Linked DNA regions of Drosophila melanogaster. The protein of the gene in region 2 binds, or shares a complex with, the protein of the main gene of each other region. Each region holds a gene or a part of one and is shown on either strand. Other genes may lie near its edges.

Region 1 (5,253 bases), on a different chromosome or scaffold from region 2:
CTTAAAGATACTTTTTTGACCAATCGGAATTCATTGGTTCAGTAAGCATATTCGGCGACTGGGTGTCTGAAATCTGGTTTCGATCATCTTATCTTGATGGTATAACTAGCATTTAGATACCCATTTTTCTTCATAATTCTTAATTTTATTTGTTGCATAATTTATGAAAATAGTACGAAAAAGTACAATTTTTTATACAGGTTCTGTATAAGTTACAAGGTACCCATTAGTCGAAACCTTATTTATCGAACTTTATAACCTAACCACTTGACTATGATTTATTTACAATTAAGCATCTTTGAGCGCTTCAATTACTTTTTACTTCCAATTAATGCAAAGTATACTGCCTAAGGTTTAACTTTGACTCCGGGTTTCCTGTAGATCGGCGGAAGTTTTTTTGTTTAGACATGCGCCAAGCACTTGAAGTCCGCAATTGACTGCTGCATAATTAGATGCGATGCGATTGGAATAGAGGATGCGATGGGTAATCACATCAACACTTGGACAGGCGATCAAGTGTCAGTTCAATAAGACCGGCTCAAGTGTAATTAGAGACCACGGATCTTGGGTTTCGGGAAGGGATCTTGGGTTTTCGGATCATCGATCCAACGATCGTGCCGAGCTCTTGAAAGCCGCTTATTAGGCATTTACAAGGGCAACTGCGCAGTTGATCGGTTACAAAATGACTTAACTATTTAAATAATAAACACGCTTCACGTTTCTCAGGCTAAGTTCGTAAGCATCTTCAATTTTCGGATTGCGTCTCAACTGCAACAGTCTATTTTGAAAGTCAAGCGTTTCTAAAAGCGCCACATCATCAGCGGTAATATTATCCATCCCTCATAAATATTCCCATGTTGTTTTGGGATCTTTTGGCTATTTTTAAAGCAGACAAAGGCGAGCCAATAATGTGTGGAAAGAATTTTGGTTGGATTCAAATACGAAGCAGCTTTGGTAACAACTAAGGTTCTGGGTTAGTCATGATTCACCAACAGGTTAGACTTAGTTTTGTGGCAAAATTTAACCAATGACGTCCAAGTTCTAACTAAAGTAATATCGTTACTTTGTTATTTTATTTTTGGATATTCTCGAAAGTTTCTGGAATTCTCAAGAAAACTTAAACAATATAGAGTCGCATTATATGGAAAACTCATTGATTCATTCTTATGTTTGTTATTTTGTTATTAAATTCCAATTGATGATGCCAGTGTCTAAATAAAAACGAAGACCTAATTTTCAACCAAAAATCAGGTTTTCTGGGCTTGTCCGTATTAAACATTTTTGATAATTATTTATAATATATTGTTATTTTTTGCTGGCTTCAAAACATCAACAAATTGTGTATGATAAATGACGATGACGTTGTTGTTGATGGCGATCGCGCTGTGGGAATCAGATGAAATGTCAATTAAGTTTGCATTTATATCTTTGATTGAAGCTCTAAGATTTGCTTTGCCATTTTATGCGGAAGTTAAGCTCGGTCAGTTCTTGAAAAAGTTCCCATGGGAGCAAGTTATTTGTTTTTTGACAATAAGAAGCGTTTATTTAAAATGGCTTATTATGGCCTCAATGATTCCTAATAGGCGTAACTTACTGGTTATAAACTTGTTTAATATCGTTTCATTTTAAACCTGGATGACAGAAAATGAATTTCGGTTCAAATACAAATATTACAATAGAAAGTATGATATTTAGCTCCGATAAACATTTAACAATTTTAGTATTTTAATGGTGAAATGGTAAATTCCGCGCATGAAAAGAGATAGAAGAGATGACATATATGGAAACCTTAAAAACGTAACGGTTGCTTGGGTTTTATAACAATCAGTCAGTGACAGGCATTTCCAGAGTTGCCCTGTTCAACAATCGATAGCTGCCTTCGGTCGCTCGTCACTAACTTTCCTTTAGGCAACGGCCACACTGTCTGGCCACCAAAATCCCAAACTTAATTAAAGAATTAAATAATTCGAATAATAATTAAGCCCAGTAACCTACGCAGCTTGAGTGCGTAACCGATATCTAGTATACATTTCGATACATCGAAATCATGGTAGTGTTGGAGACGGAGAAGGTAAGGCGAGAAACGGCGAGCCGCATGGTTTCGATTTCGGCTGAGCCGTGGCAGGAACAACAAAAACAGGGTTGTTGCACAAGAGGGGAGGCGATAGTCGAGCGGAAAAGTGTGCAGTTGGCGTGGCTACATCATCATTGTGTTCACCGATTATTTTTTGCACAATTGCTTAATATTAATTGTACTTGCACGCTATTGTCTACGTCATAGCTATCGCTATCTCTGTCTGTCTCTATCAAGCTATCTCTCTTTCGCGGTCACTCGTTCTCTTTTTCTCTCCTTTCGCATTTGCATACGCATACCACACGTTTTCAGTGTTCTCGCTCTCTCTCTCTTGTCAAGACATCGCGCGCGTGTGTGTGGGTGTGTTCTTCTTTAGCTACATATACATAAATAGGAGAGCGGAGAGACAAATATGGAAAGAATGGAAAAAGAGTGAATTACTGCAATTAACCAGTCGCGAACAGTTAAATCATATTTTTGTCGGCCATTGCAGTAAATAAACCGTTGGCTTTCCCTCTTCACTTTCCACCTCCTTTCTTTGACGTTAATTTTTTTCAGTTAATCGCGCCGCTGCTTTGAACTCGAACACGAATTTTAGCCGCAACATAAAATAAAATCAAGTAACTCTTTTAACTCAAATATAAAACAACAATTCCAATTCTTTCAACAGGCAATCTGTGTTTTTATGTCAGATACGTGCGCGTGTGTGTGTGTGCTGTAATTCCATCGCCCCTTTCGATTCCGAGTTCGTTAGGAACAGCATTAGTTCGCCTATTTTAGTAGTAGCCTAGTCCGATTTTAAGTGAAACAGGATACTCCAACACCATATACTCAATAATTAGTTACAACACCCACTCAACCATACAGCAACAACAAGTTTAACGAGTTTTTTGTATTATCATTACTTAGTTTTTTGGTTAATAATACACAAGTGAAGAGCGAACTGCAGGGGAGCGAGATATCACGAAACAATCCAAAATCCACACACACTCAAACAGAAATCAAAAGCTTCGCTCTCTCGCACACACACGCACCAACCAACTATCAACTATCACAAACACCGCGACAGAGAGAGAGCGGCAAGTGAATCACGGCGAATCGAAACCGATCCGAACCCACTCCGGAGCCGAAAAAGAACTGATCCTACCATCAAACGCATCCAATAAACACGGCCGCCAACATGCAGAGCGACTTTCACAGAATGAAGAACTTTGCCAATCCCAAGTCCATGTTCAAAGTAATACTCTCAGTGCGCCTGTCGCTAAGCCAAGCTAATCTAATCTTCTGATTCCCCTTCCCATCCATTGCCATCTTCTCCCGCAGACCAGCGCCCCCAGCACCGAGCAGGGTCGTCCGGAACCACCAACTTCGGCTGCAGCGCCCGCCGAGGCTAAGGATGTCAAGCCCAAGGAGGACCCACAGGAGACTGGTGAACCAGCAGGCAACACTGCAACCACTACTGCTCCTGCCGGCGACGATGCTGTGCGCACCGAGCATTTATACAAACACCCGCTCATGAATGTCTGGACGCTGTGGTACCTTGAAAACGATCGGTCCAAGTCCTGGGAGGACATGCAAAACGAGATCACCAGCTTCGATACCGTCGAGGACTTCTGGAGCCTATACAACCACATCAAGCCCCCATCAGAGATCAAGCTGGGTAGTGACTACTCGCTATTCAAGAAGAACATTCGGTGGGTTTGCTGTTTATTGCAATTCTGCCAAGATAACCTTTACTAACTGATATCTCATTTGCAGTCCCATGTGGGAGGATGCAGCCAACAAACAGGGCGGTCGTTGGGTCATTACCCTTAACAAAAGCTCCAAGACCGATCTGGATAACCTATGGCTCGATGTGGTAAGTGCACAAAGAAACGAGTGGTGAGCGGATGGTCTATTTATAGTGAATGTACATTCTTGAAATGCAAAAATATAGAAATAGGTGTATGATTTTGCAATATAAATTATAACTTATAGAAAATATCAGCTAAAAATACGCTAGTGCTAGCTTTTGTCTTAGGAACATTCAATAGTGAGCTTATATCATAAATATTTTTCGCATATGAGTAACTACAACTGTTTTGCCTTCCAGCTGCTCTGCCTGATTGGTGAGGCCTTCGATCACTCTGATCAGATCTGCGGCGCTGTTATAAACATTCGCGGCAAGAGCAACAAGATATGTAAGTTTTCACGCACACCCAACTTCAGCGGAATTCCTTTGTTTAACGATTAATGCTTTCCAGCCATCTGGACTGCCGACGGAAACAACGAGGAAGCTGCCCTTGAGATTGGTCACAAGCTGCGCGATGCCCTGCGTCTGGGACGCAACAACTCGCTGCAGTATCAGTTGCACAAGGACACGATGGTCAAGCAGGGCTCCAACGTGAAATCGATCTACACTTTGTAGGCGGCTAATAACTGGCCGCTCCTTATTCGGTCCGATCCCACACTGATTATTTTGTCTTTCATTTATTTATCGTTATAAGCAACAGTAGCGATTAATCGTGACTATTGTCTAAGACCCGCGTAACGAAACCGAAACGGAACCCCCTTTGTTATCAAAAATCGGCATAATATAAAATCTATCCGCTTTTTGTAGTCACTGTCAATAATGGATTAGACGGAAAAGTATATTAATAAAAACCTACATTAAAACCGGATACTTTTGATCTTTGATTTTGGAGATATTTTAAAATAGAAAAAAGTTAACCTATATTGTTTTTGGGATAATTACTTGTTGTATTACTAAAACGAGCTTGTATCCTAATATGGGCACCTAAAGCAAAACTTCCAAATTTGGAATTCAATTTGTTGCTAAAAATACGTTAGCAATTTCTAGGGTGGCCAAAAAAAAATGTGTATCGATATATCGATAGGTTTCCTAAATAGACATTAAAATAATTTTAGCTTTTTACTTATATTGTTAGAGTAAATACGTTTGTATTTAAAAAATAAGTCAGTATTTTTTTTTTATTAACCTATTATTGAATTTTATATGAGTGAGAGCTTTTCCATTCAGCCAAGAACGGTCACACTGCATGTGACATGTTTCAATTGTGTAGGCGCAGTCACACTGGTCGCGTCGCTCGTAGATATCGTGTAAGGATATGTCTCCGTGTTTAGCTAAATAAAATACATAAAATATATGTGCAATTCTAACAAGCATAGCCATTTAGCGT
Region 2 (7,686 bases):
TTCAATTTTATGGGCAGTAAAAGGAAGTGCAGAATTGGAATGCGGCATTGAATTAAGACCTCCTTTCAGAATAGGTCGGCCTAAAATATGTAAGTCAAAATAATAATGTGTAAGTCTTTGAACCCATTAATACAGAAGTCGAAGATCTCAAGTTTATTATATCGCGTTGTTTAACAAAGATATTTATTCCTAGAGAATAAAATATTGCTTTGGGTCACAGATAACTACATTAAAACAAAGTCCACTTCAAAAAATTCCACTAAATAATCGTAATTTTCATTACCCCAATAAGTCAAGAATAATCAAAATTGTAGGGTACACTTCTTGCACAGAATATAAATTAAGCAAACTGTGTATATGAATATTTATTTTTTGGTCTATTAAAAAATACTCTCTATATTATGTAAGTATATACGTGCACGCACGTCGTGTCTCAAAAAGCCAATTTAGCTATTCTACAGGTTGTATATTTACACCCGGTTCTCGTAGAGATATACTATATTCGTTTTAAAGAATGTAACAGGCAGAAAGAAGCGTTTCCGACCATATAAAGTATATATATTCTTGATCAGGATCAATAGCCGAGTCGATCTGGCCATCGAGATCTCAGGAGCTATAGAAGCTAGAGAGTTGAGAAGCTTGAGAGAGTCATGATGCTGCGGACACTCTAAGGCCCACAAACAGGCCAAAACTGCCACGCCCACAAAGCCACCAAAACTTTTGAAAATTTACTTGATTAAGAGACTAATAAATTGATGAAAAAGTCAACAAAAATCCTAAAAAACGTATGGCGTTACTCGTCATTCTAATGTCTTTGGCAAAACCAATATATGGCCGTTACGTATCTTGTTATTCTAATGTCTTTGCTTTTACGCTACGGGTAACGGGTATAAAAAGCATCCACTTTCTCCTATCCTATACTATCCTCTTTTAAGAACTGAATTTTGTATTTGCGTATTTGCACGCTTTTTATGGTAACTCAACGATTTTTATAATTTCTCTTGAAATTCATATACATTTACATTAAGTTTATGAGAACGAGTAAAAAAAACTTATAGCAAAAAAAAAAAAACAAAGCTTTAACTAATAAATGTACTTTAATAATAGCTAACACTTTTTTGTGTAACTTACCAAATGTTTTTCCGTGGACCATTTGCATATTGCCAGAAGTCCACTTTAACACTTGTTGATTACGACTTTGTGACATGTTGGGAGACAAATGTTGATTGTTTTGGCCAATGGCAAAGTTTCCACCGCCTAATATCATTCGGGGCTGTACAGCCATTGTTGCGGTCAGCTGTGGCTCAAGTACGTTCTCACGAGTACCGACTTGCTTGGCATTTTGTTGGTGTACATGATATTGTGGGTTCTGACAATAAGTGCTTGGTGATTGCGTATCCTTATCGGCTGTCATTTTTCTTAAAACTGAAGTAGGAGTAAATGCCAACGGAGTTGGAGAGTTACCGTGGGAAATTAGCTGATTAATCGTATGGTTAGCAGTATTTTGCGAATGCAATTCTAGAAAAAAATTAAGGAATTTTTACAAATAATTTTAGTAATAAATAAGATACTTTAACTGAATCAAATATTATATTAATTGAATTTTAAAGAGTTACCATATAACCAAGAATTACTTACCTTGAGAGTAGTGCTGATGGACTGATTGAGGCTGAAGAAACGATTGTTGGGTAAAAATATTGGGATCGCCTGTGACCACCGGATTTCTTTTAGAATGAGAATATTCATTCAACACTGTGGCAATGACATCCTTTGTGGCTGCTGGGGTGCTGGGATTATCCAATTCTTTTTCCAAAAAATCATGTGAAACGTCTCCACAATGAAGTCCTATTTATTATTAAACATTTTGTTTTTCATAATATTTAAATACAGCGCAGGGTATAAAAGCATTAAAATAAGAACACGTGGTTTTTACCAGATACGCTTTAAATAAGTTCCCGTTCTGATGGTAAACATGTATATGGTAAACTGTAACATTCATGTGTTTTATCAGCCAGAAACCTTATATTATTTTACCATAAGGACAAGAAAAAGGACTTAAGTATTCAAGAAAAAGTTTATAGACATGGAATTTTGAAACATATCTTACTTTGAATTAAATGTTGGATTTCCAAACGCTTTTGCAAAAATACATGACTACTAGTTGGCATGGTTGGCACGTTAACACTTAACTCTGGTTGCTGCAAATGACCATCATTTATTTTTTGATGTAATTTTGACTCAAGGTGTACATGATTTGCTATATTTGAGAGGTTTATTGTACGACAATCGTCGTTGCATGGATGATGCTGCCTGGCTTGAGAACCCAACTGTTGCAAAAGTTTTTTGAATGCCTCAGTGTCTCTAGCAATAGGTTTTTCCATTTGCACTGTCTGACATAATGACCCTGCTATTGGATTTATTAAATCAGTCCTCATATCCACTTTTATCATTTGAGCTTCCAGATCCTTAACACTTGGAATACCTTAAGAACAAAGTGAACTATAAGGCCTTTGATATATTATTACAAATCTTGACATACCACGTTTTTCTTGAGCATGCGATTCCCGAAACCCTGGAAACTCATTATTATTTGCAGCTTCTTTTTGTCGAAACCATCGGCTAAAACGGGATGTTCCTTTTGAGTCACTTTTTCCAGTTTCATCATTACTCTGCAAATGTACAATAAATATATCTTAAAATTAATAAGCTTACCTTTAAAATATAAATTCTAGGGTATTAGAGTTGCCGGGGCAAACTTTTTTTTTTGCAAATCCATAGAAATTTACTAGACTAATAAAAATATGAAAAAATATCAGAACATTTTTCAAAAATGTTGGCGTGGCAGTTCTGGGCGGTTTGTTTGTTTGTTTTTAACGCATAAAGTGATAGCAGACAACTGTATGTGTACACAGGCATGCTCATGCATTGTAAATTTCACAAAATATGCCCTTCACCTTAGAAGTTCTTTGACTTTAAATCTATATTATTTTTGATCAATTGGCACCATGCGAAAAATTCTTGTTTTGCATTGCCTTAACGTTATTATTATATGAAAATAGATTAGAAATAGCCAAATCTATGTACATATTATCACAAAAATAAATTTCAAAAATGACTTTATATAAGAATATTTGTCATTAGAGTATTCATCTTGCGGCGTGTGAAAAATTAATAAGGCAATGATTGTTGAGTGCTTGTGTCCGTACTTCGTGCTTCAAGATATGAACAAAGCAAAGACACTAGAATAATTCTAGTGTCTTTGATATGACTTTTGCAATAAACAGTTATCATATTTAATTATTTACTATATTTATTATGTCATTTGACTTAATATGATGTAACATTAACATTAAAAGTGTTTAAAAAAAAAAATATTTCGCTTTTAAAAAATTGTCAGATGAGAGACAAATTAGAATTAAACATAAATATAAATGTGTAAACGGTAGCTAATTCGAGCGGCGATTTTAACAAACAAATTTAAAAAGCTTTAAAATGATAATAGTCAGTTAAAAATTATTTTATTTTATCATATTGCTACGAAATTGACAAAAACTACCCTAATATGTACAATGTAAATTCGTTTCTTTGATCAGAATTGATTTCGGTCCGAAAATCGTCTTCTAGCACAACACGCACACATATATGCGTTCTCGTCTCTTGTTTTTACTCACACAAGCAAGCAAATTCTATTTTTAGATTTCTTATGCTCTCAGCGGGAGCGAGCGGAAAGAGAGCAATTTTGGCCGTCACTAAAAAATTGGCTGCATAGTGCAAAACCAATGTATGGCCGTTACGCATCTTGTTATTCTAGTGTCTTTGCTTGTGCTGCGTCTTCGTATCTATAATCTGTATGCTAAATTGCAACATACTAGTTTTTTTAGTTCCTGAGATCTCGACGTTCATACGGACAGACGGACATGGCCAGTTCGACTCGGCTATTGATCCTGATCAAGAATATATAGTTTACATACTTTTCAACGAATCTAGTATACCCTTTAACTCTTTACCCTTTACTTGAGTAACGGGAGTTAATATCATTATTTACAGCTTATTTGAATACTATTATTGATCCGTCAATAAAAGGTAACCCGGAAGTTGTCCATGTAATGTCTGAATGGATTAGGTACTCATTCCTTAAAATCTAGTTTTTGCAATATATTTACCAAAACGGAATTATCCAAGGGATGCATATTAAGAAAGGCATCAAAATTAAATTCACTTTCAGGATTCTGACTGGGCTGCATCTGAATTGGTTTGTTTTTATTGGGATGGCCGAGATCTGTTGAGTTTTGAATAGAAGTCACTACATTTTCGTCAGTGTGCTTCTTTTCATCACTTGGAATGACTTCGCGGAAATTTAAACTATCATTGCTGTTTCTCATCGAAGCTTCATCTTTGCTTGCTTGCGCGTCTAAATTTTTATCAAGTTGTTGAATTTGATTATTTTTATCTTCAGTTACGGATCGCTCTTCGTTTTTTTCCAGGTCTTCAAACCCGTGTAGATCAATAGTTTCTAGCTGTGATTTAGGTCCTGCACTGAACCATTCAGGTTCTTCGTGAATGAGATAGGAATTGCCACGCTTGCTTCGGCTTTGAGTACTGAAAGGCTCCTTACCAGAAATGCGTCGATTATTAATTCCCTGACGATCAAAAGACTTTTTGGAGTCATATTGAAAACGACGATCTGTGACTTCGGGAACACGTTCAACTAACCTTCCACTGAATGTTCGAGAACGATGTTGGCTTTGATTGTGCTGATTAAGACTGCTTGTACTTCCAGATCCATTTGGAGATGTTTCCTTTTCATTCTCAATGCTGGCTTCTACGGTCTTTTCGTTTTTGTAATCCCAATTATCACTTCTTGGCAACAGCCGACCGCTACCAATCCGCCTTTCTTGGCGGGATGTTGAAAATGTAGGTGAAGATGACATGCATTGGTCGTGATCCGGCTGAACAAAATTCAAACATGTCTCAGCAGTATCCAACTCGCTACCCTTACGGCTAGGCGAACTGGCTGCCTTGCCCTTGCTTGCACAAGTGTTTATCCCCTCGTTGCTTTCCTCGCTGTTGCTGCCTTTCGATATGACAAAACGCCTCTTTGCAAATGCCGGCATTAAATGTGAAGATGATATGCTACGGTGATCGATGATATTCAACTTATAGGGCTGTCCATGAGAAAGCGCATCCTTATCTTTATCCTCCCCACTTATTAGAAGAGAATCGGTAGGTACGAAGCGCTGGTAATAGTTGTTTGCCCGTTCTCGATTTCTCATAGCGCGACGTGAACTTATTGAGCTACTATTGGAACAAATTAAGCTCGAGTTATCTGCTTCTGGAGAAAGTCGATTCTTGTTTTGATTAGAATAGGCGCTGGACACGGTTAACGCAGCTGTGTTCAGATTAATTTTCCAAAAACCTAGCGTCTGCAATTCAAGTCGTGTTGAACATTGCGGGCGCTGTCGACTTTTACCTTCATATCTTAGAGCTAACAGGTCTACTTTCGAGTACCTAATGTGAAACAGATTGTTAAAACAATGTTAGTACATATACAAGTTTAAAAAAACAGTACGCGAGAATAATATCGAAAAAGTTGACTAAAATTTACCAATATTTAATCCACATACCTGGCACTAATCTTTGATGTATCCATTGCTAAGGACTATAGTTCACTGTGTAATCTAACTTATTACAGAAAGTCGAAAAAGTTAAGATATCCAAAATTATTAAAAACAGAACACTCTCCTATATGAACGGGAGAAATTGTACAATGAATATACAAATAGTACACACCACTTATGCAAACACACACTTTGAAAAATTAATATATATATATATATATACGTATTTTAAGGCCATATATATGACTGTTGAGTTTCATGAGAATATAATCCCAAGACGCTTACATACATATATAACAATTTTTAATGCTCACAATGTTGCGATTAGCTTTGTGAATATCACGCTAAATTGGAGTGGGATATAGACATTGAAAATATTTTGTTCTTATTGAACCTTAAGGCATTATATATATTAATATTGAAACATTAAAAGAGAAACACCGTGAAACAATGGAATTTTGAAGTTGTGACATTTGTGGGAAAAGAAATTCTAGGTTTTTCCTACTGGTGCTAAAGCGATACCAGACTAAGCATATCTGTCCGTTCGTATGAGCGTCGAGTAAAGGTGCCGAATGTTTTCTAAAATGATTAATATTATTATTTACACTTGAAAAACAAAAAATAAATTTTATTTATGTAACGTCGATGTTTTATAAAATAGTTTATATGATTATTTACATTTGAAATACTCATAATATATAATATAAATAAGAATATTTTTATATTATTAAACTATTAAATTTTAAATTTAATATAAAACAAATCAAGAAATTATAATCAGGCATGCATTACCGAATAATCGTAATTTGTTTCCGAATTCGATTTGATTTCGTAAAATTTTTTGCTGTCGGAGTGTTTTCTGTACAGTAAACAGCTGTTTAAGCTGTTTTCCAGCGGACACCTTTTTCACAATTTTAATTCCGATGTTCGCATTTAATTTTTTACTGCATTTTGACCGTTTAATTAATTAAATTAAATAGCATTACTTACGAACACTATAGGCCATCTTTTAAATTAAGATAATTAATTCTTTTATATTTTATAAGTAAGTTTAGTCGACGCACGCATGACCCCATGCCAAATCGAAAATTTTTTTTGCCGACGGCAAAATTTTGTATGTCAAATTTTTAATGGGGTCAGAAATAAATTGTATATAAAATAAATAATGAATATAAATAATTAATATAAATCAATAGACCACTGAGTAAACTATTTTTTCCCTTGGTAAATAATATCTTACGTGATATAAAAATGGGCATATACTTTTCATTTCGGCCAGACAAAAGTGTCCGTTTTACAAATCGAAAAATCCTTACGAATTTGAAAACCGGAGCACCGATCTTGCGTTTTAAAATGCCAAATCGAAAATTTTTGTTGCCGACAGCAAAATTTTGTATATCAAATTTTTGATGGGGTCAGAAATAAATTGTATATAAAATAACTAATGAATATAAATCAATAGACTACTGAACTATTTTTTCCCTTGGTTAAGATCTAACGTGATATAAAAATGGGCATATACTTTTCATTTCGGCCAGACAAAAGTGCCCGTTATACACATCGAAAATCCTTACGAATTTGAAAACCGGAGCACCAATCTTTAAAATCGAAATCGTAAAGTACTTCGATTAACGGAGCGTGCCCGATAGATTGATTTTGAAATTTTTTGTAGGTGTACACAGTTATACAAGGAAGTGCACGCCTAACGCTAAAATATGCTGCCGGCGGTCTGATGAAACATGCACGGAATAAGTGTTCGGTCGACTTCGGGAATGATCTTCGTGCACAATGTCTAGAAAATGACATCATGTTCCACACAATGTCATGGTCTATCAAAATCTATAGAGGTTTAGAGTTAAATACATAGCTATTTTTATAGTCATAGTCCCCTTTTTTTGAGAATATACGATAGTTTTGGTTATGGTCTAAGAGTGCGTCACCCAATTTCTATATGCCGTCCTGCATTGACCTAACGGTCTCTACCCACCCATTAATGAAGATAATGACGGCGGTATCGTAAGGATGGCAAAATAGGGATGGTATGGCACAGTACGAAGAAATGTGGTAC

The links.
Region 1: the proteins of 4E-T (region 2) and eIF4E1 are in contact, whole or in part, in a crystal structure (PDB 4UE9), measured with the Drosophila melanogaster proteins. Residues at the interface, in NP_726618.3 of Drosophila melanogaster: Arg9, Tyr10, Lys12, Leu15, Leu16, Leu18, Arg19, Glu21, Lys23, Ser24, Arg25, Gln29, Cys30, Ser31, Arg33, Gln37, Leu39, Gly40, Phe41, Trp42, Lys43; in NP_001261626.1 of Drosophila melanogaster: Lys80, His81, Pro82, Leu83, Met84, Tyr91, Glu93, Asn105, Ile107, Thr108, Val113, Glu114, Trp117, Ser118, Leu119, Tyr120, Asn121, His122, Ile123, Lys124, Tyr135, Leu174, Asp175, Leu178, Ile181, Gly182, Glu183, Ala184, Phe185, Asp186.

The regions. Positions count from the first base shown.
Region 1 is NT_037436.4:9,399,098-9,404,350, reverse strand, and holds eIF4E1 (eukaryotic translation initiation factor 4E1), read left to right. Parts: upstream 1-1,890; 5' UTR 1,891-2,047; coding exon of another isoform or gene 2,048-2,071; exon of another isoform or gene 2,072-2,434; intron 2,435-2,545; exon of another isoform or gene 2,546-2,694; intron 2,695-2,744; 5' UTR 2,745-3,254; coding exon 3,255-3,311; intron 3,312-3,397; coding exon 3,398-3,768; intron 3,769-3,832; coding exon 3,833-3,932; intron 3,933-4,166; coding exon 4,167-4,254; intron 4,255-4,317; coding exon 4,318-4,481; 3' UTR 4,482-4,733; downstream 4,734-5,253. UniProt on the Drosophila melanogaster protein: Recognizes and binds the 7-methylguanosine (m7G)-containing mRNA cap during an early step in the initiation of protein synthesis and facilitates ribosome binding by inducing the unwinding of the mRNAs secondary structures.
Region 2 is NC_004353.4:952,382-960,067, forward strand, and holds the start of 4E-T (eIF4E-Transporter), read right to left. Parts: upstream 6,012-7,686; 5' UTR 5,651-6,011; coding exon 5,625-5,650; intron 5,509-5,624; coding exon 4,164-5,508; intron 2,670-4,163; coding exon 2,540-2,669; intron 2,483-2,539; coding exon 2,108-2,482; intron 1,846-2,107; coding exon 1,639-1,845; intron 1,519-1,638; coding exon 1,132-1,518; intron 81-1,131; coding exon 1-80. UniProt on the Drosophila melanogaster protein: eIF4E1-binding protein that regulates translation and stability of mRNAs in processing bodies (P-bodies). Probably plays a role in P-bodies to coordinate the storage of translationally inactive mRNAs in the cytoplasm and prevent their degradation.